Caenorhabditis elegans: one gene and its partners. The protein of the gene in region 2 interacts with the protein of the main gene of each other region in a pairwise test. Each region holds a gene or a part of one and is shown on either strand. Other genes may lie near its edges.

What was found.
Region 1: the proteins of pah-1 (region 2) and F09G8.7 interact in a two-hybrid assay, tested with the Caenorhabditis elegans proteins (one large-scale study listed by BioGRID).
Region 3: the proteins of pah-1 (region 2) and droe-8 interact in a two-hybrid assay, tested with the Caenorhabditis elegans proteins (one large-scale study listed by BioGRID).
Region 4: the proteins of pah-1 (region 2) and rsy-1 interact in a two-hybrid assay, tested with the Caenorhabditis elegans proteins (one large-scale study listed by BioGRID).

Annotation. Positions count from the first base shown.
Region 1 is NC_003281.10:8,265,922-8,271,079, forward strand, and holds F09G8.7 (uncharacterized protein), read right to left. Parts: upstream 2,435-5,158; 5' UTR 2,434-2,434; coding exon 2,332-2,433; intron 2,227-2,331; coding exon 2,026-2,226; 3' UTR 2,000-2,025; downstream 1-1,999. Other genes in the region: mrps-9 (Small ribosomal subunit protein uS9m), read left to right, coding at 141-202, 254-349, 395-478, 526-786, 833-1,090, 1,251-1,358, 1,403-1,516, 1,568-1,671 and 1 more; crn-7 (Cell-death-related nuclease 7), read left to right, coding at 2,745-2,839, 2,905-3,322, 3,818-3,998, 4,051-4,160, 4,206-4,331, 4,439-4,612; mps-4 (MinK-related peptide, potassium channel accessory subunit protein 4), read right to left, coding at 4,869-4,924.
Region 2 is NC_003280.10:8,760,741-8,768,000, forward strand, and holds pah-1 (Phenylalanine-4-hydroxylase), read right to left. Parts: upstream 4,472-7,260; 5' UTR 4,332-4,471; coding exon 4,296-4,331; intron 4,201-4,295; coding exon 4,084-4,200; intron 3,676-4,083; coding exon 3,483-3,675; intron 3,431-3,482; coding exon 3,268-3,430; intron 3,156-3,267; coding exon 2,959-3,155; intron 2,909-2,958; coding exon 2,773-2,908; intron 2,598-2,772; coding exon 2,471-2,597; intron 2,427-2,470; coding exon 2,197-2,426; intron 2,152-2,196; coding exon 1,977-2,151; 3' UTR 1,882-1,976; downstream 1-1,881. Other genes in the region: nsph-1.1 (Nematode Specific Peptide family), read left to right, coding at 6,460-6,489, 6,557-6,715, 6,899-6,964, 7,094-7,260. UniProt on the Caenorhabditis elegans protein: Catalyzes the hydroxylation of L-phenylalanine to L-tyrosine. Catalyzes the hydroxylation of tryptophan to 5-hydroxy-L-tryptophan. Plays a role in the biosynthesis of a melanin-like cuticle pigment.
Region 3 is NC_003283.11:8,723,844-8,731,162, reverse strand, and holds droe-8 (dietary restriction over expressed), read right to left. Parts: upstream 4,636-7,319; coding exon 4,568-4,635; exon of another isoform or gene 4,526-4,567; coding exon 4,185-4,525; intron 4,141-4,184; coding exon 3,979-4,140; intron 3,853-3,978; coding exon 3,766-3,852; intron 3,604-3,765; coding exon 3,436-3,603; intron 3,388-3,435; coding exon 3,340-3,387; intron 3,296-3,339; coding exon 3,176-3,295; intron 3,133-3,175; coding exon 3,055-3,132; intron 3,014-3,054; coding exon 2,948-3,013; intron 2,902-2,947; coding exon 2,803-2,901; intron 2,680-2,802; coding exon 2,565-2,679; intron 2,519-2,564; coding exon 2,395-2,518; 3' UTR 2,206-2,394; downstream 1-2,205. Other genes in the region: ZC196.5 (DUF713 domain-containing protein), read right to left, coding at 1-47, 444-506, 550-600, 983-1,039, 1,351-1,467, 1,514-1,705; ZC196.9 (G-protein coupled receptors family 1 profile domain-containing protein), read left to right, coding at 5,999-6,031, 6,274-6,417, 6,531-6,651, 6,748-6,877, 6,926-7,109, 7,155-7,307.
Region 4 is NC_003279.8:11,214,676-11,225,042, reverse strand, and holds rsy-1 (Arginine/serine-rich protein PNISR), read left to right. Parts: upstream 1-3,047; 5' UTR 3,048-3,067; coding exon 3,068-3,113; intron 3,114-3,254; coding exon 3,255-4,282; intron 4,283-5,791; coding exon 5,792-5,972; intron 5,973-6,901; coding exon 6,902-7,150; intron 7,151-8,404; coding exon 8,405-8,670; 3' UTR 8,671-8,866; downstream 8,867-10,367. Other genes in the region: Nuclear transcription factor Y subunit nfya-2, read right to left, coding at 15-96, 156-157; Y53H1A.2 (C2H2-type domain-containing protein), read right to left, coding at 1,070-1,141, 1,204-1,353, 2,070-2,402, 2,454-2,534, 2,636-2,644; ins-36 (INSulin related), read left to right, coding at 9,952-10,126.

The DNA of each region.
Region 1 (5,158 bases), on a different chromosome or scaffold from region 2:
CGCTCCATTGACAAACAATTTCTCTTTCACTAAAAATTTTCAAGATGCGAGCTCAATTTTGCATAAATTACTTTATAAATACTAAATTCCGTTATTTTCAAACGTATTTTAATTTATTAATTTATTTATTCCGATTTCAGATGCTCAGAATAGTCTTAGCCCGCTCAAGTAGAGCAATGAGCTCTGCTTCGCCAGCGTCTGCGTAAGTATCATTCGTTTCTCTTATTTCTTTCAATAAATAATCGTGTTTCAGGTCAGATAGCGACACTTCAGTTCGAAAAATTGGTAAAGCACTGGAAACTTATTTGAAACACAGTCAACAACATGTGGCGATGATGGAGAAACACAGGTTTATCGATTTTTGAAGTGAAAATCGTTAATAAAGCATTTTAAGAGCAGAGTTCGAGACAGGACGTCGACATCTTGCCAAAATGATGAGTCTTGACATTCATGAACTCGATCAAGAGGCAATTGACAGGTTTTGTAACAGTGTTTTGTCATATTTATCATAATTGGCATTTTCAGAGCAATCCTATATTTATTTCCTTCTGGATTAACCGACCCAAATGCTCGTCCAGTTATGAGACCACCAGATGAAATTCTTCCAAAATTCCAAAGATTCACATTTGACGAAGAAGGAAAACCAGAAGGATCCCGATTTTTCACATTAAGTCCAAAAATTTACGGGCTTTTGTCGGATATTGGAGTCAAAACGCATTCTGTTATGAAGTTTTATGATGAACATGTTGGAAGTCGATCGGTAAATCGAAGTGATTTGGAACCAGCGTAATTAGTAACCATTTTTTCTACTGAAACATTTATTAATTTTCAGAAATCTGAGCGGTTCTCAATGGGTTACAGCTGACAAATTGAAGAAAAAGCTCTCGGAAAAATTTTCAAAAGAATTGTACGGACAAGTCATCATTGCATTTGAGCATCTTGCTTCATTACCAGGATCAGCTATTGAACAAAAGTTTTTGATGGAATTCAGAGAGCCAATGACCGCTTCAACTGGATCCAAATTGTTCGGTCCTGCGATTCCTGAAGTGCATGTTTGTGCAGTGACCAACAGAAGATATGCAGAAGTGACGTGAGTTGTCCTTCTTTTAAAAGACAGCAGAGAATTTTTGCCAAAAATCTAATGATTTGATAACCTTAAAATTAGTTTTGCCATTAAAAATACTTGTAATTTTTAATTAAACAAATTTTCTCTAATTGTAAACTGAATAATTGAACAGTTTTTTTTTCAGAACACGATGTAAAGATACTCGTGCTACAGTTAAGGTCACAGACGCAGGAAAAGGAAAATTCGATATTGATGGTCTCCAATTGCACGATTTCAGGCATCTTCAAGCCAGGTATATTTTGCGAACATCGAATTTTTCTGATAACATAATTTCAGAGAGATTCTTCTTGCACCAATGATTGTCAGTCAGTCTCTCGGTCGATTTGATGTAACAGCGACAACTTCATGTATTTCTAATACTCTTCCAGAAGCACCAAACAAGGCGCCATTGTGAGACTATTAAAATTTGTTACTCTGCAACAGTATAATCACTTTCTGCAGAATGCGAAGTGGAGGAATGAGTGCTCTACCGCGTGCTGTTCGCCATGGAACTGCACTTTGTGTTGCCGCTTTGCAACCAGAAGCTATCGAACCACTAAGATTATGTAAGGACATTTATTTTGTAAAAAACTTATAAATTCCTAAATTACAGCTGGACTTCTAACACTGGACCCACGGAAAAACGAAAGAAGCAAGGTGAATCAACCGGGTGCTCGTGCTAAATGGATCTGGAAACGTCGTTAATTTATGAATACCCACTTTAATTTTGTTTTTGTTAATTGGTAGGAAGTTTTCAACTAGAATTCTTGTTTTTATTGTTTTTTTAGACTTTTGAAAAATGAAATTTATAAAATAGAAAAGCATACATAACGAGACATCAATTCAAAAATGGGTTTGGTTACTTTTCAGGGAAGGAATGCACTGGGGGGGGGGGGGGGGGAGGTAAAGTGAGTAAGTTTTTAATCAGTATCTACACGTTTCTTGAGGATGCAAAAGTGTCCGCCGATTTGGAACATTTCAATTTGGAAGTCGTCGTATTGAACTTGGATCGTGTGCACTTTTAGATCACGGAGTTCAGTTCCTTGAGTTCGAGTTGCCATTCGCATTGCATTGTAGGCAATTTGACGAGGGTTCTCCGCTTCGAGGAAAGTGCTGTGGGCCTGGAAAATTTTTTAATTAAAATTTCTTACCAAAAAAATGTGTAAATTTATATTTAGAATTGAGCAACAAGTATTTTTTCTAGAAATTATTTTATAAAATCTTACAATTGTATTTCCTTTGCAAATCATGAAAGCGAGGACTCCGGGAATCTGCTGAAGGTTTTCCAATGTGTACTTTGGCTTGGACTTTTTGTTTGATTTGCTCATTCTGGAAAAAAACGTCATTTTTGTATAATTAATCAAGAGCAGATGAGGAAGAATAAAACAGTGCAAAATAAATATGGAGCAAACATGACTCGTGAGCATTTCTGGTCAAAAATACATTAGGCCACGGCCACCACTTTACACTTGAAAAATTTCGGTCAATACATACATCACGGCTGTTTTGGACGAGAAGAGACAGAGATCGTCAAACAGAAAAAAACTGAGAGAAAGAAACGAAGAAAAAATATCGTTTTTTTCAGAAAGTGGGTCGATGATGATGGGAATGAATGAAACAATTCAGTAGGTGGTGAGAGATGCGATTATATTTTGTTCTTATATTTTCTGTGATTTTTACAACTGGAAATGGCAAAATTCAGTGCAAGAATATGCGTGGAAAATCTGTGGACTGGTGAGTATTCTTACTCTTAGGCTTCATGCCTTCAGAAAAATTAATCTGAAACCAAAAAACTTCAGGTTTGTCGTTTATAAACTTCCAAAACTTTCCGGCGCTGGAACATCTGGAAAAGAATTTGTTTATTTCGATGCCGAATCATCAGATTGGACACGTGGAAATGACATAAATGATCCAAATGTTGCTGTGGGAGCAACAGTTTCCCAAGTGTATTCTGCTGATAAATCAAACAATTTTTGGTTCATGTACAGTGATGATGATCCTATAAAGTCAGCTGATTCATATAGAGGACATGCGAAAGGAGTATCACTTTTTGATTCAACTACTGGATTTTGGTTAATTCATAGTGTACCGAATTTTCCACCCATCAAAAGCTTTTCCTATCCGAACACGGCTGAGAAATATGGACAATCATTTTTCTGCGCATCAATGGAAGTTCAACATCTAACAGAGCTCGCAGAGCATTGGAAATATATTCAGGTATGTTTAGAAAAACCTGTTATAAAGTTTTTTAAAGCTACTTTTGAACGAATTTTGACTGCCTGGCTTATAAATCTAAAAGACGCATGAAAAAGTTAACAACAAATTTTTCAACTGATTGTTTATAAAGTTTCCTAGCTTTTCAAACACTAATAAGAAAATAAAATCGACTGATATAATTATATAAAATTCAAAAGATAAACAAAGAAAAAGAACAAGAAAAACCGTTCAAGTAAACGCGCTCCATTGATAATAGAAGCTTATGGTAGTCGGCGTGGCTTAAGATTACAAGCACAGAAATAGTTTTACGAGTATCAAAAAGAGTGAAACTTAACGGATTTGACCGGATTGAGCCAGATGGGTAAATTCTGAAAAAAAAATCAAAAAATAAATAATCGAGTCGCTTAATATAAATTAAATTTTTGGCGAGTAATCGCTTCATTGATAACATTTTAAGCGGAAATTTGAATTTTAGTAACTGTAGCATACTTTCAGGCGACTCCCTACATAATAAATATACCGGAAAAATATGCAACTCGATTCCCTACATTGAAAAATGTTGAAGCTAAACAAAGTCTGCCACGTTCAGCCACTCAATTTTGGATCTCAAAGCCGATTAAAACCGTACAAGGAGTTACATTGATGGCCTACGCCAAACATAAAAAGTTTGATGGAGGTAAATTGGAAAATTATATTTAAAACTGTAATAGGGCTATGAGCTTAAACAGATATTTGGAATGATTTGATATCCCGCCAAAATAAAGTAACACTAGCAGTGGAGAGTTGGTTGAATGGCAGTGGAGACGATATTCATACAACTTGTACGAGTACTAGTCAGGTATGAAATTGATAATTTCAGACGTGAAATAAATCAGAATTTCAGACTCATGACGTCACAGAAATGCGTGTAACCGGGCTGAACTTCGCGAGCTCGAAGGATCATTCGAAATGGGCGGTTTCAAATTCTCAGACCAATCCGATTGTTTGTTTTGGAGATATGAATAGGCAGGTTGGTCACATATCGTTTTTTAAGGATCACAGACTCGCCACGAAAAACATTCAATCATAAACTTGAAGAGTATTCATAAAGTGAAATAGCACACTTTTTGTTTTCAGAAATCACAACTGAAACGTGGCGGTGGAGCATTGTGCATTCAAAATAGAAATCTTTGGCAATTATATCATTCTTTTGTTATTCAAGTTGAACCGTGTAAATCTTCTTCTCATTTTTCCATGTTCCAAACAATTGCCACTCTCCTTTCCGCAGCCGGCCTGGTATCAAAGATTTGAAAAGAAAAATGGCCAAAAAAAGTTGGGCGAAAAATTCCAAACTATTAAGGCCAAGCTTCTTCAAAGTACTCAGTTATCTATATTTCAGAATGTACTCCTCTGAAAATTGAACCTCTTTTTGTTGCTTTAACATAAATTAATTGCGGGTGAATTATAACACTTCTGTTTGACAACAAAACTAACAAATTTTAATTTCTAAAAACTTCATAGTCAGAAAAAAAATTAAAAAATAACTTAAAATAATTATCAAAATCTTCTAGTCTGTTCTCTGCCAAAAATTTGTTCTCGGGTAATAGACACGATGCTTTGGATCTGAAAATTAGTATTTTTTATAAATACCAAGTAATCATGTGTAGTCAGAGTATTCCATAGTTATTTAGCGTCTGAAACATGTGGTAACCTCATTTTTTGGCAGTAGGACGTCTCAGGCCCGTAAATTAACACGGAGTTCGGTAGAGCGTCGCCAACTTTCGCGGTAACGTAATATAGAAAATAAGAAAACAGCGACGTCATAATTCCTAAAAAATGAGGCTGATATGTTTTCCA
Region 2 (7,260 bases):
TTTTGAAAAATGAAGGGGGTTTCTCAGATGTTAGAAGACAAAATCTATAGATGCTACGTGGCATTAATATTTTCAAAAAGAAAAATGTTATTTATATCTAAAAATTTTGACAAACCGTTTCAAACACCAGCAGCAAAAGTTTTGCATGGAGAGACGAGAAAGGGAGGAGGTGGAAGTGTACATTATGAATATATTGCAATAAAAGTTGATCAATATTTCGCTGATTTTTTTAATACATTTGAAACCAATACGAAGCATTCAAGTTTTTCGAGGGAAACTGCCTTTTTACAAAAAAATTAATTTTGAAATATCAGTTTTTTATGTCTCGAAGAAAATTTCGTTTTGATTCGGAAAAAAGTTGTGGACAAAAGAAACAAATGCACAAGTTTTCAATATGCTTATGTGAATCACTGTAAAACAGGAAAAGAAATGTTTTTTTGTTGAAAAAATTTTCCAGTTGATTTTTTGTCAATTAAAGTATAATTGGGAAAATTCTAAAGAATTAACATAATTTAAAATGTTCGTGTTTTAGATATAATTTTGAGTTTTTTTAAAAATGTTTTTCATCTGATTCTGAAAAAAGTTTATTTGATAGACAAAAAAAACTATAAAAAGCTGACCGTCTTCCATTCCAAATATGAAAAATAATAAAATCGTGGGTCGAGGGAAAGAGGGAAAATATTCGATTGAGAATGCAAACAGTGTGCATGTTCACACAGCTGGCAGTACTATATGTTTCCAATTATTTTATTCTATCAAAATCATATTTTAATAGTGAAACAATTGGTTAAACAAAAGGATTACTCTTTGAAGATTTGCAAAAAATTAAACAAAAAATACACCCGAATGTATTATTTGGCCAATCTTTAAAGTAAAATAGATGGTACTTGTGTATTATTTCCCCTCATTTTTAAATTCCATATATTTATCCATTTTAATAAAACATGATGTTCATTTTCCCTCTTTACGGTTATTTCCTGGTTATGGTTAAAATATTAAAACTTATTTTTTAAAAATAAGGGAAATAATACACAAGTGCCAACTAGATACTAAAATTGGGAAAATTGATGTTTTGATTAAACACAAATTCAATTTAATTTCCAAAAAAAATGAATTGAAAAGGAGTTGAAAACGCATGCTTGTAATAATCATGATAAGAAAGGAAGACAACATAAGAAGAAAAAGAATTGATTAAATGTACGTGGAGCCGCACCTTTAAAATGATAACAAAGTGCACATACAAATGTTTCACTAGACCTCTACATTTGCATAACCTAGTTTTGAGAACTCAGTGCCAGTTTTTACTTCTTTTTGCAGATGAAGTCAAAAGCACTTCATTTTGGACACACAACGAGACTTCCGTACAACACACACACACACACAAAAACTAAACAATAATCAAAAATGCATGACAATTTATATGCACAGTTTTCGTTTTTCGCAGTTAGATCACTCACACCAAAACACTCGCTGTCGTAGATGACGTGGTTTTTGCAACAAAAATGGATAACTGGCTTTAATTTGGGAAACATTTTGGTGCTCACACCAATTTTTCGCACTTTTTTCATGTGATGCTTCAAATAAAGTAATTGCTGAAAAGGAAATCGTTTCAGATGCCGGAAAAATGTTGGAAAAATACGCGTTAATCCTGGCGAGAGAAAAAAAACAAAACAATTGGAAGTGAACAAGGCTTCGAATTGTTTATTTTCATTTCAGTGCATTGCTTCCAACGACGGTGAACACTATTTTTAATTAATTAGTTTTCACATTTCCCTGTTTTCAAGGAGTTAAGGGAATATGATATGTTTTTTAGAACAGTCATCATAGTTGTAACTCCATCGTAGGTAGTTTAAAAATCGTCTGTAAATCGAGCAGCATGGACAAATTTGTAATTGTTGTTCAGGTTTCTTTGTAATTCAACAAACATTGAGAACAATGTACATTTATTCTTGCAAATTAACAATTTAATCAAAAAGTCACTTCATCTTGAGATTGTTCACTTTTCCAAGAGCTTCTTCCAAAGTAGAAATATCACTTCTGATGTCTCTTGCGAGACGTTGAAGTGCTGCTACCTTGTCGAGAATTTCAACTCGTTGAGTGTAAGCATTATAACGAATTTGGAATGGACGATTGATGGTAGCTGCCCATGATCTGAAATTATCTAGATTACAGTTGAAACTGACTATTTGATCCTACTTAAGTTTGTTCTTAGCACTTGCAAATGATTCAGCTAAGAAATACTTTGGCTGATATTCTGTGATTGGATATTTGGTGACACAACATACAGCTGGATCAAAATCTACAACTTCCGGCTTATCACTCAACGCATATTGAAGCTCTCCAAATGAACTCAAAAGTCCGGCTCCGTAAGCTTTTTTCTCCCCATCTTGTTGACAGATTCCAAATTCGATTGTGAACCAGTAGAGCTAATATTTCAAAATAAAAAGGGGGTTTCAATGTTCAAACATACTGTGGCAAGTTTTTCAATAACATCATCTGGAGCTCCAAGAGAAGCAAGACCGATTTCCTGTGAGAATTGTGCAAATTCAACATCAGCAAATAGTGGAACATGTCCCAGAAGCTCGTGGCAGATATCTCTGAAAGTTACATCTCCAGCTTATTGTCAAAAATTCAGAATATATCCAGATGATAATCAACCGATTAGATTTTATTTTCCTTTTATGTTGCACTATAGAGTTTTCACAATTTTTTCAAAGCAAAAGTCGTTTACGAAATCCCACCCTCGGTTAAAATTATCATGTTCAAACTCACGGTTCAGGTGTGTATTTTGGAGCGGAATGATGGCGAATGTATTGTGTGGAATGAAAAACACGGAAGGCCAAACCAGCCAAGAAATCACGAGAAGAAAGAAGACCAGCGACTGGTCGAATCGTGTACCCGGTACAATCTGAACACGAAACAAATACAAAAACAATCAGATGATAATGATTTGTTTACCCTTCAAAAAATCTGAAACATCCTGCAATTGTGGAATGCGGTCAGGTCCAAAACCACAATTCTGCTGGAGGAGTGGGAATATGTAGTTGAACTCTTGGCAAGCGTTTTTCGGGTACATAACTGTCAGCTCGTTGTAGACTGTACGCCACGTGGCAATTTCTTCATCAGTGTAGGTGATAGTAGGGATCTTGTCTCCGCTGGAAAGTACGATCAGGTTGCAATTCGGATTTTTTGGATTTTATTCAGTACGCCTTCAATGTTACATATTTATTGGCACATATTGCTACTTTTGTTGATGAAATGACTTACTGTTTGAAGTTGAATGCAATATCGGCGAAAAACTTTCTGCGCTCGCGGTAGGTCATGTCCTTAAATCCAGGGTGATCGGCATCAAGCTCAGCTCCATAAGAAAGAATTCTGTTGGCAAATTGATCGATGTCGTTGATCTTCTGTGGGAACCATGGAACAGAATCTACAAAGCTCTTGAATTTAATACTGTGAGTTTCATTATTGTTATAGCGTACCCTTGTTTTGTTTGTTTTTGGTGTTCCAGTCTTGAACAAGAACCTTCTTTTCAGCTTTTTGTTGGAAATGCTCAATAACTCCTTCAATCTTACGATGGTCTTCAGCTTCAGCAAATTCAACGAGCACCTCATAGCATCCTTCATGAGTCTTTGATGGTCTTGATTCAATGTGAGACAGATTCACATCATGTGCCTGCAAGAATGTGTAATGAAGCATGTAATTGGTAGGAATTTGAGACAATTGATATGATCTCTTTTTCTCGTGACACGATTTTCGACATCTTTGATAATCAAAAATCGCGAACCGGATTAAAAAATGCAACTACGTAGTTTATCTCTTATCATATTTAGAAACAGTTTGGTGCAAATTTTCAAATTTTAATTTGATATAAATGTTTTTTCTATGTCTACTCAACCGTCTAAACATAATTGAAGATCATATTATTCAACGCTTTATGATGCATAAAATATTAAACCGCCTGATCAAGAGTAGACGTGAGAATCATAAGATTTAAAAAAAAAAGTGTCGCTGACGCAATAGTCATCCTCTGAAGTCTCATGATCCTCTGACATTTCTAGTCTGGTTTTTTTCATGACTAACCTGGAACAGCTTCAATGTTTCAGCGAGAGCTCCTGCCTTTTCACGAAGAGTGAATACGATAGTAGTCTTGCCAATGTCGGCGTTGACGTCAGCAACGTACGATTCCATGGCGTACTTCTGAAATAAGTTGGACTTTAGTAATTGGAAATAATTTTACACAAAATTCTCAAACAGAAGTTTTTCTTGATCAGTTCAAACAAGGAAGGTCTCACCAAGAAGTCAAGATCATCTTGTCCAGCTGGTGGCATTTTCAGAGAACAAGATTTGGTTTTCAGAGGAATAGACAGTCACCGGGAAATAAGAATTAAACAGAGACAAAACGTGAGCCGTACGTTGCCGTTTATACGAGACGAAATAGCTGGAGACTCAGAAGCCTAGAGATACAAGGCGTGGCCTATGAACTAGATAATTCGTGTGGCCCCCAATACCATTCTGCAGAGAAAAATCCACGTGGGAGGAGACTCGCGGCTACCCATACACAACCTACACGTGGGTTTTCATTAGAGTGTAGTGTGAGATAGAAGAACGGTTGGAAGAAATTGAAAAAAATACGAAGAAGAAGAAGAACAGTCAGATGATGAACTTGAAAGCACGTGGAAAATGATATGAAATAGATCACAGACAAATGGACGCCTGAACAATAAAAGATATGATTATGATCAATGAAATACAGTTTGAACTTCCAAAAGAAAGCATGCCCCAGTGGATCTTCTTCGTAAAATAGATGTAAATCTCTGTTTCTAGTTGAGTTGAAATTTAAGACGTTGGGTATGAATTGGATTGTAGGCCTTTTCAGGCGTATGTGCTTACATACAGTCATTTTTCAATTTCAATTAATTGATGAAGCTTAAATATGGATAGTGGAATGTTTCATTTTTTCACGATGCTGAAAAAGGGGAAACTGAAACAGGTTTTTTTTGTTGAGTAAATTTACCGAATTTGGAGTCTTACGACTGCCTTGTGACGAGCCTCGTTCAAAACTTTTTTTCAACTTCCTCAAATTTCTCGAATTTTAGTTTTTGACCTTAAACAGACATTTCAATGGTTTTGATTGAAGAAAAAACCAAGTTTTCTTTGAAACGATCAAATGGGTTACGGTAAAAGCCATAAAATCATGGTGTATCGAATCGAAAGTAGGAGGGGGACGCTGAGAAAAATCAACAGAACACAATAATGAAAACTGGTTGACGCATCCTTTGTATTGTGAAAAGGAAGGAAAATGAGATGAGATGAAGACGTGGAATATTTAGATGGAAATATATAGGAGGACGTTTGGTTGAATGTCTGACATTTTAGGATGATAAATTTAGAAGAAAGAAATTTATATGAATGGATGAGACAAGACGATGTCATAAATCAGTTTGAAAACGGCAGAAACGATCAATAGTTGATGATGTCCGACTGGCTTTTATCAACTTTTCGTGAAAATTTTCGTTTGCAACGCGAATCTTCTGCAGACCATGATCTGAGATGTCTATGTCAATGAGGTAAATAGGAACAGTAATACAGCATTGAAACAATTAATTTAGTCGATGGTTGATCATAAAAAATGGAGAAATTTTGAAAATACTCGTGTACGAGATCAACTGATCAGCGACGGTTTCGATGAAAACAGGGGAAAATATAAGGATGATAACACTTTTGAAGATAGCAAAATATTTTGGTTCAAACAGTTTTTAATTAATTGAAATTATTTAACAATTTTCTAATAGTATGATAACAAATTCTATAATTTTTTTTAATAATTTCCGTAGTTTTGACCAAATTTTTGTTTAGATTGTAACTTCCACGGATATCACGTATACTTTGGCAATAGAGGCTGGCATAGGCCGCCTGGTAGGACTTTGTATTTATGTATTTTCAGCTGTTACCCTCTTTTTGAAAAATTAAAGTATGGCCGAAAAAAAGTATTTTTAAAATATTCAAAATTAGCAAATTGATTTTTTTTTTCAGATAATTTGGCAAACATCAGTTTCTTATTACAAATGCAAATGTTTGACGTTGGACTAGTATAAATAAAGAGCTCGATGTACAAAAATTATATCATAATATTGAGAAAAATGGATCAAACATACCTTTCTAATTTCATCAATATTCATCCTTATATAGCTGGACTCAACAGACCAATAATATAACTGATGGAATGTACGAAAAAGGAAAAGGAAGGAGGTACTGCCGGGATAATCATCAGTTTACGTTATCATCTTATATCTTGAATGCACCGAGTCGCGTGGAAGATATCCAATCTGACCTTCCATTTTTATCTATATTTTAAATAAATTTAAATAAACTTGTTCAGCAGAAAACTCGTTATTACGTGAACCAGATAGAAAAAAATGGTCGGAACAGTGAAATCAAATCAGTTTTAAATTTTTAATGGATAGGAAAGGGTTCACAATGGAAAAGGTGAGTGGCTTTCAGTTATTTGATGGCTATTGCACGCATTCAAACATTCTGCAAGTGATTTATTCAGGGAAACATAGACGATATTTGGACATTACAAAAAGTTGGCACACCTTTTCCACCAAATGTTGCAAAAGCTCCTGGTGAGACAAATAAGTACGTCGCATTATGGTATAAACACGGAAAACCAGTGATGGGCAGAGCTTGGAACGATTCTGGAGTGGTGAAGGTAAACTGGAAAAATAACTATTCAGAAATTAAAAATAGACTTCCAATTATTTGAACTTGCAAGTATGCAAGTTCGCCTGCATAAAAGGTAACTTACAAGCGGTATTAAAATATTAAAATACAAAAAAATATGGAGAGCCACCACGAAGTTTTGATTCCTTGGCCAATCAATCCAATTTTACAGGGAATTTTACCAACGGTAGATATGTGCTCTGGAAAGCTGGATCGATTTGCCAAGTTTCAACTCATCGTTTGTTGCATATTTGCTATTGATATGTTAGGCTCACTTGATATTTTAGGGAAAATTTTCCTTTAAAAAATAAACTAGGAAATTCTAAGACTATATAATAAAAAATATCCATTTAATCCAACTTTTCAGTGCATGTTTGTTCTCGATGATAAGATATATAGTGGAGCAGATGTCGGAGGAAGCATTCAATTACTTATTCTCGATCATATTGAAAAATCAAAATCATTTCATTATGATTGGGTAAACTTCAAAAAAGCACAAAGTTTGACAATTGAAGGAAAATATGAAATGGTTCG
Region 3 (7,319 bases), on a different chromosome or scaffold from region 2:
AGTACTGATGATTCTTGAAAAACGATATCAGCATTTGGGTGCACTGGCTGAACAGAAAGTTATGAAAAGGTTTTTAAAAGTGGAATAGTGTCAGAGTTGGAATTGTTAAAAATCTATTAGAACTTTGCAAAACTTTTTGGTTTTTTATTTTTATTTTGTTCCCAAAATTGTTTATCACTGTTTTTTCTGTCACTTTTTGTGAAATCGTTAATCAAAGAAAACACTTTTCCTTCAAATTTTATGGACTGTTTACGTTTTAAATATTAATATTAAACGTAGGACAATTCTATGGTTTTTTTTCTTCAAAATTGGCAAGACCTTATTAATTGGCAGATTTTGATGTCAGCATTTTTTATTTCAACAACATTGAAAAGTTTTGAGGTGATATTAGTAAGAAAATAGCTGAAACCCTTGCAAAATGTCCAAGACTGAAAATAAGTTACCAATATATTCATGGTGGAATTCGTTGTGTTTCCACTGTAATCTCCTGTTTTCTCTGTCACATTCTACAAAAAAACATGTTTCAAATTTCAAAGCGTCACAACAAACCTGTATAGGTGATGGTGTTGTGCTGATTATGTTTGGCTGATGTGTTGAACCCTGAAAGATTTTTTTTTGATATTTGTATTACTTTTAAAAAAATTCATTCAACCAGCAAAATTTGAGAAATGATCAAAATTTCAATATATCAAGAGATTTCTGGAGCTTTTTAAGCGTAGTTTCAGTTTGACCAATGAGATTTTATTTTCATGTATAGCATTAAGTCACATCATTCCAGTACAAATAAACTACATTTATTGAAAAACGAATGTTTTTGTCAAAAGACTATGGGCGATGAGAGTTAAAAAATTTCAAATGAAAATTCCACTAAATGTTTGAATTTTACAAAGTGTTAGTTTATGATGGCCATTTAAAACCCAAGTTCATTTTACAATTGAGAAAAATAAAACTGAAAAAGAAGCTTCAACAAAAATAAACATACAGAAGGCTGTGGAGTTGTCCTGAATGTACTTCCTACATTTCGCTGATTGATGGAAGGCTGAAAAATAAATTATTTCATTTTATAGATGAATCTGGCTGCAGAAATCTGGAAACAAAGAGATATTGCAAAAAATTAATAACAATAATTTTTCTTCAAATGCTCAGATCAATAAGAAACTTTTTTTCATGGCGAATGAACTTTTTTTAATGTTTTATAAAGTTATCATGCTGGTAACAACATCAGATTTTGTTGTTACCTCTTAAAATTCAAAATATACAGAACTTGTCACAAATAATAATTTTAATTCGAATACAAAATTAATCCAAATTAAAATTAAAATTACTGATTTTTCCAAATAAAAAACTCACGTTAGGACGTCGAGTTGTGGGAATATGAATGTAGTTGTTGTTTTCCAATTTTTTAGGATCGTTGAATGAAACTGGTACAGCTTTCCCAACTCCATAGTTTTGCTGTTTTTTGAATTCCTAAACTCTGATTATTTTCTGACTTTCCAATTACAAAAAAACTTACTCTATGAATGGGAGCTGTTGATTTTGCCGTTGGTGAATAAATATTTGTTTCCTTTTTTGGCACTGGGCTAATTTTTCGAATAGCTTTATAATTTGCCGGCTGGTCCAATTTCGAAAATTCTTTTTTCCTGTCGTTCTTCACTTCTTGCGATCGTTTCTTCTTTCCTTTTTTGATTTTAGGAGGGATTGGCATTTTGAATGAGAATCAAATATTTTTTATATAAATCACATAAACAAGAAAAAACTGATTGGAATCTATTTCATGTGAGAAACTACGACTAGCAAGAAGTTTCTGCGTCATTTTGACTTTGTTTGTTGTGTCTATTTCTCTCTTTTCCTCTCTACTATTTGCAATTTACTGCTAACTTTAAAACGAAATGTCAGATTCGTTTTGTTCCTAACTTTTTGTGATAGTTTTCTGATATAAATATATTTTATAAAACGGAAACAAATTGATCACACTATCTTCATACATTGTTCAAATTATGGTTAAAAGTAGAGCAAGGGTTCCTGTTCCTCTGTGTTGAGAAACTCATAGTGACTAAAGAACAAGAGTTTCAAATCTCACTCAAAGACTCAAAGACATAGACTGTTTAACTCCGATAAAAGATTCAAAAAAGAGTGAATTCTAACTATATTAATATTTAAATTTTGCTCTATTCATATATGATTTAATACTTCGGTTTTTCGGGTTTTATTATTATTTTTTTCGTTTTCTGTTAATAGGTAATAAAAAACAACTGGAAAGCAGACAACGTTTTAACTGTTTTATATTGAAGCTGTAAAATGACATAACTCCATTTGATATAATCACTTAGCCTTTAATTATTTACAAAAAATATAAAGAAAAATTAAATAATAAATCAATGCATCTGTTTAACTTCAAGCAATTGTTTCTTGATTATTGAATTCTGGGGTCTCTTCTTTCAAGGCTTCAAGCTCGTTGGTCATGTCATTCGAGTTCAGTGAGTCAAATTCAAGGTCATCCAAAGTCAGATCGGCATATCTGAAAATACTGTTAGTTCTGTAGATGTTTAATGAATAGTGCAAACTTGTTTGAAGTTTCCGGCTGAAAATTAGATGGGTTTTCAAGAGGCGGTGCAGAGCTTTCTTTTACAGATTGATCTGTCGGAGGATTTTGAGACAAATCCATGATTTCATTTGCATCTTAACATTAGAAAATTTTTTATGAAAATGCCACAGTTCTTGATAAAGAAAAGATCTTCCCAGTATTTTAGAACCAAATCACCAATTCCAAACTTAAAGATACCAACCAGATATTTTATTTACCTCGGTCTTCAGACTTTTCTCCGTTACTAGAACCATCATTTGGAAGATAGTTCGCTTGGATTATGATTTCTGAAAGGCTGGAAAGCTCAGCTGGTGGATCTGAAACTAACAAAAATAAAGATTTGTCAATAATTACTCGACATACCAGCATCATCTGGACACAATGGAGGAACTTCCGCAGAATTTGTTAGTTGTTTTTCGGGCAGATTATCTAAAAAGTATTTCCGTATTAATATCAGAATTATAATTTACCATTTGTTTGATTTTCGTCGTCTGTTTTTTCTTTTGCATTTAAATCTTCCCAAGCCACTTCATCTGTTTTTTCGTCTTCTGAAATACTTTTTAGAAAGAAACCCTTGCAATTGTTTTTTACCTCTTATTTCTGCAACAATGTTAGAATGCTCAATGCCATCTAAACAAGCTTCTTCAATAAGAAGCCTGTTATTTTCGGTCAAAAACGATCTTGTCAAATTACCAGGTTTTTCCATCGTTTCTAAATTTTGTTATGAGTGATATTGTATAATATAGGAAACATACCCTCGGCCACAACATCATTTTGTTGGTTTTGATCTTCATTTGAAGTTTCTGAAGATTAAATAAAATTGTTTCAAGAAATTAATGAAATTGTCGAACCTTTTTCACAATTCGGGTCGACGAAATTACTGGAATTCACAAACGATTGCTCATTTTCATCAGGAACAGCCACTGTTTCTTCAAATTTTGTTATTTCTTTGCGCACTTCCGAAGTATTTTTTATGTCATCGTCTATTTGACAATTATCTTCATTTTCAAGTTCAATACCTGAAAAAATTGAGTTATATTTTAATCAGTCTGAGGTAACAGAATATCATGATAAAGCTAGTCGAAAATTTGAGTTTTTCCAATAAAAAGTTTTTGTAAATCACATTTCGAAAGTTTTTGAAAAGTTTTACTATGATATGTAGAATTTTTATTCTGACTTACTTGAATCAACATCTTCTTTTGCTGTAACGTCCAAATGCGAAATTTGTTGGATTTGATCATCAGGCTTGGTTTCTTCGTTTACAATCTCTGAAAGTTAAAATCCATTTTGTATTCAATGAAACCTTTTTTGTTTCTGTTGGTACTTTGTCCATTTTGAAGAATGTTTCATACCATTGTCTATTTGACAATTGTTTTTTATTAAAAAAAACATACTTGTTATTTTAGAGGGCTCCAAATTCTTAGCAATTGTAACATCTGGCTTCTCAGTACTATTTGAGCCTAGATACTGGGTGAGTTCTACAACTGGCCTGTGAACATCGTCAAGGGGGGCAATGTCTGGCTGAACACCTTCATTTGTTTCAGAATGAAGTTTATCTAAAAAAAACGAATTCGAAAATATAAAAACACTCGAAACTAACCTTTTTGAGAAACATGCTGAACCGATTTGATCCCGGAGCTGGTTTTTTTCAATATTTCTGGCACCACAGGATCTTCTCGTGGTTTTGATGGGTTATTCATTGGTGGTAAACTCTCTTTCTTGAATTCCATTTTCTTTAATTGAACTTGAGGTTTCAGATTAAGTACATCCACATAGGTTACGCATCTCGTAGGAAACGAGCTATTGGGCATAACCGGTCGATTTTTATGCTTTGGAATTCCGTCGGTATTTCTGAAGAAGCCAACTTGAGTGTTCACGGGTGGGTTGACAGGAGGCTGGTTTGAAAATTGGACAGGCTCGCTACGAATTTCGTGAGTTCCTCTGAAATAACTCAACTATTGAAACAAATATGCGTATTCTTACTGTCTGATTTTCAGCATTTCTCCAGAGTTTTTTGATAGAAATGGATGACATCTCTTCGGCGTACTCATGATTCTGTAACTATAATACACTTTAATTTGTGAAAAGTTGAAAATATTATGTATGTGAGAAACTATACGTCGCCGACTAAAAAAGAAAGGAATGAAATTTGGGATGAGGAAGAAAACTACTTGTTTTTGTTTTGTACCGATGGCGTAATATATTGTGGTAAACATTGACGCACTGTTCAAATAATCAGAAGCAAGGTAATTGTTTATTATGTATGACCTCAATTTAAAAAAAAATAATTAAAAATGAATCAAGGAAATCGCTAGACTTATTTTTCAGGTCTATTCAAACTTGATAAGTTAAACGAAAAAATTGTAAAAAAAAATCATTGTATTTTTTAAGTGTGGGGTTCCAATATAGAAGCACTAAGAATATATGCAACGTCAATTTTAAATCAATTTTTGTAAGGATAACACTAGATAAATATTTAAAAAAGGCGAGATAAAACTAGCAACGTGTTGCGAAGGGTTGTTCCACTGCTGTTCCATTGCTAATAGTTAGTTGTGAGAGAGGAAAATGATTGCAAAATCATATGACCGCGGCGGAAAACTGGCAAAACACTGGCAATTTTTTGGGATGAGGAATAAATGAGGAACAAACAATTTATGAAATACTTCAAAGAAAAAACATGAAAACCGATGAACAAGGTGAAGCGACTTTCTCGCACGGCATAATTTTCTGTTGGCGTTCTTATTTTGAAAAAAGGCTAAAAAAGTATTGGTTGGAGAAAACATGAAAACTAAATTGATATCTTTTCAAGTTTTTCACTAAAGCGTTTCGAAATTAACGCTGGACGTGCTTTTGCCATGAATTAGATCAGTGTAATACAAACAATTTGGTATCTTACTGATAGAAGTAAAATCAGATTTTATATAGTTCACAGTCAGTGGTGCAGATGCCTTCTCAGCAACTCCAAGTAACATCTCTCCCATCATCAGAGTAAGCATCAAGTTCATAATGATTTTTTTTCAGCATTACATATGGTGTTTCTGTCACACGAAAATGTGGTACTTGAACATTTCTTTGTAACTGAGCTTTTTAGTCTTTTGTTAACATGCACATTTGTGGCCGGCTCCGAGAAACCAATCTGAATATGAAATTTTTATAGGTGTGAGCAATAAACACGCGTTGTTCGAATATTAAAATGTGCCATATTACATGCTCAAAATTCAGAAAACCACACCCTATGGCCATGCGTATCTAAAGTTAACAACATCAACTTTTAACATTTCTTGTATTTTCAGCTGTCTCTCCTTTTTAACCACGGCGTCACAGGAAAATTCTTGAATTTCCAAAAATATATAATTTCCTTCAAGTTTCCTCTTGGACGTAATTTGAAAAATTCAATAAAAGTGCATTTTCAATATGGAAAAAAGACTTGAAGGGCCTATGCGAGAGGTGAGATATCTTTTAAAATTAAATTTTTGAAACAAAATTGCATGAAGTATTGAAAAAATATTTAAAACTAAGAATAATTGGCAATTCTTGTCATGGTTTTTTTGTAATTTGACGTCTTTGGCTGAATTTATCATCACAGTTCATTGTCAATTACTTCAAAAAAAAGTCTCTACGAGTACTATTCCACATTCCTTTCAATATACTGGATCTCAAAATTAGTGGCATCAAAATTAAAATTTCAGCTCCTCTTGGATATTTCCGACTCTGAAAAAAATTGGCTTTACTATTCAGTGGTATCACTTTTTGTTGTGTCTACAATTGGTGCAACTATATTGACAATGTCTTTTTTAGTTTTATCAATACTTTTGTGGAGACATTTCAAATCGGTAGGTGATGTTGACAAGCTCAGTTCAACAAACATGAATATACTAACGCTGAAAAAATCTGAAAATTGACTCGTTGGAAATACAATTCAAACAACTTTTTTTTTAACATTTAGATGAGATTCTTCTGGTTTCTAACTCAATTAACAACATCAGCTTTTGTAATTTCTGCTGCAAATTTGTTCATCAACATTCCAGCTGCACTATCTTTATTTTCGAAAGAAGTAACACAATCACGTAAGTATTATTTGCCCACTTTGCAGTTCGATCTTGTGGGCCAGCCTAAATTTATGAACAAAGTGAGATAAACAATACAATTTTTGTTTTTTATAGGAATGTTTTATTTTGTGTCTTATATAATCGATTTTTGTCATTACTCTATTCTTTTTTCAAATTTGGTAATTGCCGTCCAACGTGCTTTTGTATTTTTTCTCCGGAATTTGACGGATAGGTTCTTCGAGTCGTTAGTTGAAAAAAAACTAATTTTAACTTTAAGTTTCTCAAATTATAGAAAAGTTATATATATTTGGATTTCAAGTATCTACATATTTGCTTTTGGTGTGGAATATGCATTAATGTTTTCAAATTGTCAATATCGCTTTGGTGAACTTGCTAGAAAATACCAATTGATTTGTGAAACAACCAATTATGCAAATGTCGTTATCACAATGACAACCCCTACCGAAGTTCAACTTGTGATTATCAAAAAAAAGTAACGTTTATAAGAATGATAATTTCAGATGGAAACTATGCTTCAAATTTTCCTTCCTTTGTCTATACTTATCATATATATTGCCATAACTGTCAAAATAATATATATGAAAGGCAGCACACTGAGCAAAAACGAAACTCTGATATTAAAGCAAGCTATTTTTGTATTTTTAATTTTTCAAGTACGCTTAATT
Region 4 (10,367 bases), on a different chromosome or scaffold from region 2:
TTTCAAAATCCTACTGTTTGAGGTCTTGCTGGTGCTGCTGGACGTCTGTTTAACACAATTTGAGTCGGCATTTTCGACGGATTTCCACGTGGATTCCTGAAAAAAAAAAACAAAAAATTTTGTAGTTTGTAGTCTGTGAGCCTCAACAAACTTACATTTTGTTTCTTACACGATTTTTACGGGCAGACTCAAGCTGTGATGGAAATGCTGAAAAAAAATTATTAAAATTTTGTAGTTTGTAGTGTGCGTGCCTCGGCTACAAACTACAAAATGTCATAGCCTCAACCAAATTTTTTGGGACTTTTGAGGGAAAAATCAGTTTTTGGAGGTTTTTTTTTTTTAATTTTAATGCGAATTTCATGTATTTCACAGCAGAAAATAGGCAATTTTTGATTTTTCGACTGGAAAATCGCTAGTTTTCGGACTTTTTAATGGAAAAATACGTAATTTCCATTTTTTTAAAGTGATCTTTTTTATAATTTCCGCTAAAAAACTGATATTAACATTTTTTGGTTGAAAATTACAGACTTTGTTATTTTTATCCGAAAAATCTGAAAATATTCATGATTTCTGATTAAAAACGGGATTTTTTTTGGTTTTTCGTGAAATTTTTCACATTTTTTAATTTTCAAATGAATTTTTGTTTTTTTTTTTGTTAAAATTTTCACAAAAAACTCTGAAAAAAGATTTTAGCTTCAAAATTCAACAAAAAAACTTGGTTGAGGCGGTGTCAGTTTGTAGTTTATAGCCTCTCAGCCTCAACCAATATTTTGGTTGCGGCTCACACACTACAAACTACACATTTTGGGTGAAAAAAAAATGAAGGTATTCGCATAAAAATGGGCAATTTTTGAGGAAAAAACTGAGAAAATCGTTGAAAAATCAATATAAATTGCAATTAAAATGAATTTTGTCAATCAAAAACTGAATAAAAATTTAAATATGCACCGAGAAAATCAATGAAATGAGCGTATGAATAAGGCCACTGGGAAATCGAGTTAGTGTCAGAAATAGTACACAGTAAAAAAATGTAATTTACAATATAACAATCAAAAAAAATTTTAAAAATTCATGAATCCGGGTCCAAAATCTCTGTTTTCACATTAATCTTCGGCGGAAACTCGTCACAATTCGGAGTTTTCTGCAACAAAAAAAAATTAATTTTTTGTCAAATTTTCAGTGAAAATTCGATTTTTTTGCTACCTTCCAGTGTCTCCGGAGACTATCTGGGCTCTGATAGCAATATCCACATTTTTGACATTTATAGGCGTCCGGATTGCGGTGTACAACGATATGATGCTTGAGACGTCGTTCCGATGTGTACTTTTTCGGGCATTCCGGGCAATTGTGCTTCTGAAAATTCGAAATTGTTGGGCGAAATCCATGAAATTGTAGTTTTTAGTCATTTTTATAAGAAAAATCGGGAGAAAATCGGTTTTTTCGGCCGAAAATAGTTTTGGGTGAGGCTCAGGGACTACAAACTACAATTTTCTTAGCCTCAACCAGTTTTGCGTTAGTTTTTGGTGTTTTAGGATTGAAAAAGTGAGTTATAAGCTTAATACATTGCAGTTTTTAGTCATTTTCATATAAAAAAATTGCAGAAAAATCAGTTTTTTGGTCGAAAATGTTTTGGGTGAGGCTAACAGACTACAAACTACAATTTTTCTAGCCTCAACCAATTTTTTTCGTAAAAATTGAAGGTTATTATCGTAAAAAGTTAATAAATATCATGAAATAGCCGTTTTTACTCATTTTTATACAAAAAATTGGGGAAAACCGTTTTTTTTTTGGTCGAAAATGTTTTGGGTGAGGCTAACAGACTACAAACTACAATTTTTTTAGCCTCAACGAATTTTTTAATACGATTTTCAACTGAAAATTAGGTTTTTTAATAGTATAAATTAATTTTTAAGCGAAAATTGAATAAAATCCTATTTAAAATGATTGCGGTTTGTAGTTTGTAGTCTGTGAGCCTCAACCAAACGAATTTTCGTCCTATTGGCTGAAATTTGATGATTTTTCATGTTTTCAGGGCAAAAATTGTTAGAATCGGGGTTTTTTATCAGTACCATTTCACTTTGGCCATCCTCATCATCTTCGTGATCCTCTATTTCTTCCGGATGCTCAGATTTTGGAGAAATTACTCGATTTTCCACGATTTCTTGTGAAAATTCTGGATTTCTAGGATGAAAATGTGATAAATTCGAATAATGAGCTTGTTGCACAGATTGCGGGGGCGAATATTGATTTTTCGGTGAACAATTTTGAGGCACATTTTGCGAATTATTGTCGTAGACCAGCTCATATTCGTCGGTTTTCTGCTCCGCAAACATATTTCTCATTGTAGTGAGCACTTTTGGTCCATCTTCGTCTGATGTGTAGTTTGAGGAACAGGAAATATCCTGAAAAATTGGAAAAAAAAAGTGATTTTGCAGAAATTTTCGGGGAAAAACCTCTATTCCACTTTGTAAATTGAAGTCATCGCCGAAAAGCATGTAGTTTGGACAGGAAAAATCCTGTTTTCTTTCTGTCATCTGAAAAAAAAGCAAATTTAAATTTAAATTATTCAAAAAACAACTATTATCGTTGAAAATTGCTGCTAAAAATTAAATTAAATTAAATTAAATTAACCTACCGTAGCCATTAAAGGCGCATGCTGTGTTCCCTCGAATGGGTTTCTACACGAAATTGGAAAACGTCGGATTTCGGCAGGAATTCTGGAATTTAAAATCACTTTTCTCCAAAAATTAAATATATCGATTCATTTTCTTCACATTACAAACAAAAAAACACGTTCAAGTATCTGAAAATCACACAGAAAGCCGCCGTCAATAAAATTCGGTGGCCGCGTGGCCGTGGACTAGGTTTCGTGTAAAGGAACGGCCATCGACATTTTTTCGATTTAATTCTATTTTAGAATATTTTCAGCGCATTTTTAAAGCTTTTAAATAGAAAATCTAGCTGAAAATTTCGAATTTTTGTTAAAAAATGCTAGTTTCCACCTTTTTCCTCCCAAAAAAAACCAATAAGATCGATATTTCCTGCAGAAAATCACAAAACGAGGGAAATGGAAGATTGGACCAACTATCATCAGGCACAGCCGGCGGAAAGTGGTATGGCGTTGTGATTTTATTGAAAAATTGAATTTAAAATCGAAAAATTTGGCAAAAAAACACGAAAAAATCGATTTTTTTCGAGATTTTCGCGAAATTTTTTTAAATTTATTTAAAAATTAATTTTCGTCTATTTTCCAGTCGACTGGGCCCAGCTGGCCCAACAATGGATGGCGATGCGCGACACAGACGATCGTCGAGCCGGAAATTCACACGATTTCGCTCAAAATCATCAGCTCCCGTGGCATCAGCCACGTCATCCGGGCCCTCCGGCTCATCAGGATTGGGGCGATTGGTCCGCGAATCGGGACGAGCAGTGGAGAGGGCCGCCTGGGCCTTCTGGGCCGTCCGGGCCCCCCGTATATCATAATCAAGGCCCGCCTCGTGGATATCCACCACCACCGCCACAGGGAGCAGACACGTGGCGTGGAGCTCCTCCACCAGCTCACCACGGACACTTTGGACCGCCTGGACATCATTTCCAAGGCCCACCACAACATTTTCCGCCAGGGCCACCAAGGCCGCACTTTCCAGGCCCCCCAGGCCCACATAGACCTCCAGAGCACTACCCAGGGCCTCCAAGACCTCAGGCTCCAGCGGCACCACCACCGAAAAGCCTATTCCCGTCGGCCCAAAAGCCTAAGCCACTTTTTGCGGCGGCTTCAAGTGCTCCAAGCTTCTTCGGAGCACCTCAACGTCCACCACCGCAGCTGCACTTTTTCCAGGAGAGCCCCTCGGTCCAGCACGATTTTCAGCAGCCCGATTTCCAGCCCGATTTCCAGCCCGAAAACTACCAAAATTCCCCGGAACCCCCGGCCCAAGCTGGCCCGAAAGGTGTGCCTCCACCGGCTCCACTAATGGCTTCAGGGCCCACAAACCCGTATGCAATGAACAAAGAGGCCCGGAAAAAACTGCCGGCCTGGATCCTGGAAGGCCTTGAAAAGGCCGAACGGGAGAAGCAAAAGCAGTGGGAAAAAGAGGAAAAGCTGAAGAAAGCGGAAGAAGAAAAAGCCCGGCGAAGAGCCGAAGCTGGAAAGAGCAAATTTGACTCTTCGTCGGATGAAGAGAGCCCGGAAAATGAGAAATTTCCTGTTGGTAATGGAAAATCTGAATATCAGGAAGATGATAATGATTCGGAAGACGATTTGGAGGAGAGACGAGAGCAATTTGTACGGGAAATTCTAAATTCCTGAAATTTCCGCAAAAAAAAACCTAAAAACTACAAAAAATTTGAGAAAAAACGAAGATATTCTAAATTTTTAGAGGAAATTTTTCAAAATTTGAGAAAAAAAACCAATTTTTTGAAAAAAAAAATCCAGCTTTGTAGTTTATAGTCTCTCAGCCTCAACCAATATTTTTGGTTGAGGCTCACACACTACAAACTACAAAAAATTTTGAGAAAAAACCAAAAATTTGTCGAAGATTTTCTGAATTTTTAGAGAAAATTGCTAAAAAAATCGAGAAAAAACCGACGAAATTTGATCAATTTTTGTTGGTTCAGGCTCATGCTCAGACACTACAAACTACAATTTTCGGGTAGCCTCACCAAAATTATATTTTGAACAAAAAAATCAATTTTACAATGAAATTTTTGTATTTCGAGGAAAAATCGTTTCTTTTTTTACTTTTATTTCAAAAAAATGTTGAAAATTTGAAAATTTTAGCCGGCTAGACTACAAACTACAGAAATTTTTTTTTTTAAATTGTATTTTCCCAAGATTTTCTGAATTTTCCAGTGTAACTCCTAAATCCTAAAAATAATTCCTATAAAACACCGAGTTTTTGATAAAATTTCAAAAAATCTATTGGTTGAGGCTATGACAATTTGTAGTTTGTAGCCTCTCAGCCTCAACCAATATTTTGGTTGAGACTCACACACTACAAACTACAATTTTCGGGTAGCCTCACCAAAATTAAATTTTGAAAAAAAAATAAATTTTTCAATACAACTTTTGAATTTCGGCAAAAAAATCGTTTTTTTTTTCATTTTTAATTCAAAAAAGTTTAAAATTTTAGACATTTTAGTAGACATTGGCGTTTTTGATGCCAGCTAGACTACAAACTACATGAATTTAAAAAAAAAAAACAATTTTCCCTAGGTTTTCTCAATTTTTCAGCGTAAACCATAAAAATTCCAATAAAAAACCCAGTTTTTGATAAAATTTACAAAAAAAACATTGTTGAGGCTATATGACAATTTGTAGTTTGTAGTCTCAACCAATTCAAAAATTGGTCGAGGCTCAGACTACAAACTACAATTTTTAAGACAGCCTCACAGAAATTTAAATTTTCAAAAATTCAATTTTTTCAAGATTTTTTAAAAAATTTTCTAAAAAGTTTTGAAATTCGGGTAAAAAAAATTTTTTTGTTTCAAAAATTTTATAATTTTGATGCCCGCTAGACTACAAACTACAAAAATTTCGAAAACAAACCTTAAAATCTTCCCAAGATTTTCAGAATTTTTCAGTCAAAACCTTTAAAAATGCAATAAAAACCGAATTTTTGATAAAATTTCAAAAAATCTATTGGTTGAGGCTCGCGTTTTTGGAGGCTGTTAGACTACAAACTACAGAACTTTTGAAAAAAAAAAATTGAATTAAAAATTAAAAAAGGTCCATTAAGTGGAGAAAAACCTCTTAAAAATTTCAAAAAAAAAATTTTCGAAATTTTTTTTCCAGATACGCTGTGTGAAAACTCTAATGATGAACGTGCTCCTCGAGTCTTCGAATGACGTCATCATGCGTATAATACAAGAAGAGCTCCGTGAGCACGAAAAACTTCAATTTGAACGGAAAAAATTGGCAACTGCGCCGAAAATCATCGGCAACAGCTCAGCGTTGGCGGCTCTCGCGGCTTTTGGTATGGAGAAGCTCGCGAAAATTCGAAATTCGGAAAAAACAATTTTTTTGACCAGAAAATTCGGTTTTAAAAGTTTTTTCCAAGTTTTTAATTTAAAAAAAACCGAAAACTTTAACATTTTTGAAATTTTCTTCCAAAAAGCTATGAAAATCGTATAATTTTTCATAAAAAATTCATAAATTGTTCCAATTTTTCGACGAAATTTTTTTAAACAAAAAAAATTCGATTTTATCGAGTTTTTTGAGCTAAAATTTCAAAAAGTTTTTTAAAAATTGATTTAAAAAATTCGAAAAACGAAAATTTTCAACATTGTCTTCAAAAGTTTCACATTTTTTAAAAACTTTTTTCTAAAATTTTCGAATTTTCCATATTTTTTTTAAATTTAAAACAGTTACAATTTTGAAACAAATCGAATTTTCTGGTTGAAAAATTTGAGATTTTCCGAAAAAAAAAGTAAAATTTTTGATTTTTAAATCGAATTTTTCAAAAAAAAATAGCGAAAATTTAGATTTCCAGAAAATTTTAATTTTATATAAAAATTGTGTTCAAAAAGTTCCTGAAAAGCTCTTCTTTTTCCTAAAAATTCAAATTTTTCAGAAAAAGTTTTCAAAAAAACATTTTTTTTTTTTGGAAAAAATCGGTTTTCAGAAGCTTTTTTAATTAAATATTCGTTATAAAAAACGATTTTCGAACAATGTACCAAAAAAGAATTTTTAGTTTAAAAATTTCAATTTTTTCGATTAAAAATTCCATAAAATGTGAATTTTCAATTTCTCGAAAATTGTAAAACTAAAATTCAAATAAAAAAAGCCTTTTTTTGCAAAAAAAAAGTTGAGTTTTCAGTTAAAAAAAAAAACGTTTTTTAGAGCTAAAATGTCATATTTTTTGAAATTTTATTTCAAAAAATTCAAATTTTTCAAATTTTCCAGGAGACGGTGAGGATAGTGACAACAGCAGTGACGATGGAGTTGGCGACGACATGGAGCCACGGCAGGAGAGCAGTGGCTCGGCGGAGCTAAATGGAGCATCAGGGGCAGCAGAAGCAGGAACACCAGAAGCTGGTGGTGGAGAGTTCAAGGCTCCCGTGGGTATCCCTCGAAAGTTTAGTGTTAAGACAGATGATGTCAAACCATCAGTTAATGATGATGGTGAAGGTGTTGATGATTTACACGTTCCAGGTAAGGTAAACTAATGAAAAATATAAAAATATATTCACTTTTTGTTGAAAAAAATACCATTTTTGCTAATTTTTTCCCCGATTTTAGCGTCAAAAATGTGTTTTTCTGTAGTTTGTAGTCTATTAAAGCGCGAATTTTCAGCCAAAAAACTTCAAAAACCTACTGGAAATCCACTTTTTTGAATTAAAAATTCAAAAATTTCAGGAAAATCTGCAAAAAAAAAATGTTTTTTCAATATTTGTGTGAGGCTATGTTATTTTGTAGTTTGTAGTCTCAGCCTCAACCAATTTTTGAAATAATTGAGGCGCGCTGGAGACTACAAACTACAAGTTTTCTTCACAATTTTCACTTTTTTCCGCCAAATTTGAACTGAAATTTTTTGGGATTTTGGGACATTTGGGATTTTGGATTTTTGGGACAGAATGGTTTTGTAGTTTGTAGTCTCGGAGCGCCAATTTTCAGCCAAAAAAAATAATATTTTATTCCAAAAAACCCACTGGAATTCCACTTTTTTTGGATTAAAAATTCAGAAATTTTCGGAAAATCTGAAAAATTTTGAAAATTCAGTTAAAACCGCTTCTAGAACTCGAAAAATCTATTTTTTAAATCCAAAAAAAAATCTGAACATTCCTGAACATTTGGTGAGGCTTTGCTCATTTTGTAGTTTGTAGTCTGTGAGCCTCAACCAATTTTTGAAATAGTTGAGGCCGGAGACTACAAACTACAAGTTTTCTTCACTTTAGCAGAGATTTTTCGGGAAAATCTCACTTTTTATCTAAAAAATTTCAAAAATTCTTTTCTTTTTTCAATAAAATCTCTGAAAATCCAAATAAAAATCCAAAAAATTTTTTTTTTCTAATTTTGTAGTTTGTAGTCTGTGAGCCTCAACCAATTTTTGAATTGGTTGAGGCTACAAACTACACATATTTCCCAGCCTCAACCTAGATTTCTTCATATTTTACTCATTTTTTAAAGAATACAAATGAAAAGTGTGAATTTTTGAAATTTTCACTCGCAAACGTGTAGTTTGTAGTCAAAATATTGGGATTTTACTATTTTGGGTTAGGCTAAGCTGATTTTGTAGTTTGTAGTCTTCGGCTAAATATTTAGAAATTTCCTTTCAAAAAGTCTGTAGTTTGTAGTTTGAACCTTGATTGAGGCTGATGTGATTTTGTAGTTTGTAGTCATTCTCTAGACTACATAGAACTACACAATCTACACACAAAATTCCGGAAATAATATTCAAATTTTCAGATTCAAAAAACGGCGATAATAAAAAATCGGAAAAATCGTCGTCGGAAAAGAAGAGAGAACGAGAGATGAGAGACGATGAGAAGGAGAGAAAATCGAGTAAAAAGAGCAAAAAACGATCGAAAAGTCGTGAAAAAGAGCAATCTTCATCACGACATAATCACCGATCGAGAAGCCGATCTTCGGAACGGGATCGCCGTCGAAAACGGTCGAGAAGTTCGGAACGTCGGAGGGATCGGGGGGACAGGGATCGGCATAGTCGACGTTGATTTTTATTGATTTTAACGATAAATTATTGATTTTTCCGATTTTTACCGCCGATTTTTTCCACCAATTTCTTGCTCCAAATTCTCATTGTTCAAAGCCGCCCGTTTTTCTGGAAAACTCCCAAAAAATTATTTTTTTGTATTACCTATGATGACATTTTCCCATTGATTTTTTTTTGCTTAATGTATTTTGAAGTTTTGTTTTTTCGTTTTTGGTTTCAGCATATTTCAGAATCGCACAATAAATTCTAATTTCGCGCCTGAATTTTTGGAAAAATAACTAAAATTTGAATTTCCCGCTAAAATATTAAAAATAATTTGAAGTTCGCGCCAAATTTTTTGTTTTGAAAATTCGAATTTCCCGCTGAAATATTTAAAATTTTTGGAAAAATTACTAAAATTTGAATTCGCGCCTAAATTTTTGAAAAAAATACACATAATTTAAATTTCGCACCAATTTTTTTTTTCGAAAATTCAAATTTTTCGCAAAAATCATGGAATTTAACATTTTAATTATTCCGCCAAAATGTTTAATTTCCCTCAAAATTTGAATTCCGCGCTGAAATTTTTGAAAAATTCTATTTAAAATTAGCGCCAAGATTTTGTAAAATTTAAATTTCTCGCTAATAAATTTAAAACACATTGAAAAATTGAAGTTTGAATTTTCCTCAACAGATTGACTAGAATTATCAGTTTTGAACGCCTCTCACGAGACAAAAATCAATGGCCGAGTTTTCCCGAATTTTCTAGGCCATGCAGCAAAGGTCGGTCATGAATTCCTTACACTCAGAATATTATAGAAAAAATACGATCGCACAAAAATAAACAACGACGCAACGACACTCCGCTGTTTTTAAGCCCCGCCCACGATTTCATTTGCACTGAAATGTGGCGGTCGCAGTGCAAATGAAATCGTGGGCGGGGCTTAAAAACAGCGGAGTGTCGTTGCGTCGTTGTTTATTTTTGTGCGATCGTATTTTTTCTGTAATAGAATTATTAACCTTCGATCTATTTATTTCATTTAGCCATAAAAACTATGTGTTATAGTTCTTCTAACTGATATGAATTTGTGCAGAGTATTGGCATGTTTTATCAATTTGTGACTGTTCGAAATTGTTTCAATGTTTTGCTTTTTTAATTTTTTAAACGGCCTGAAATTCGGCCTGGAACGGCCTGAAATTAGTTTTCAAATTTTTTTGTTCTTAAACTTTTTTTTTTTTGAAAAAAATAATATTGTATTTTTCACAATTCAATTCATAGAAAAATTGTTGTTTTTTTTCCAGAATGAACATAGGCAAATGTTCCATAATTTTCCTGCTCTTTTGCGTTTTCGGATCAATTTTGAGCCGAGCAATCCGGAAAAGACACCCAGAAGGGAAATTGGTTATTAGGGATTGTAAGAGATATCTTATCATGTACTCAAGGACAATTTGTAAGGAAAAATGCGAAAAATTCGATGGTAAGTGAGCCTGACTGCTATTTTCTGAAATTTTCCAACAAAAAAAAAGGAAAATACATACTATTTCACTAACTTTTCCCACACGTTTTTCATATTTCGATGTTTTACTAAAATGCTTAGCTTTTTTTTAAATACTATAGTTTTTCTGGGATTGTATATTTTTCTATAGTAGGCCCGCGGACTATACTCAGGGAAATACTGCTGAGCGTTGGCGACTTAGTTACTACTTAGAGTTGGCAGG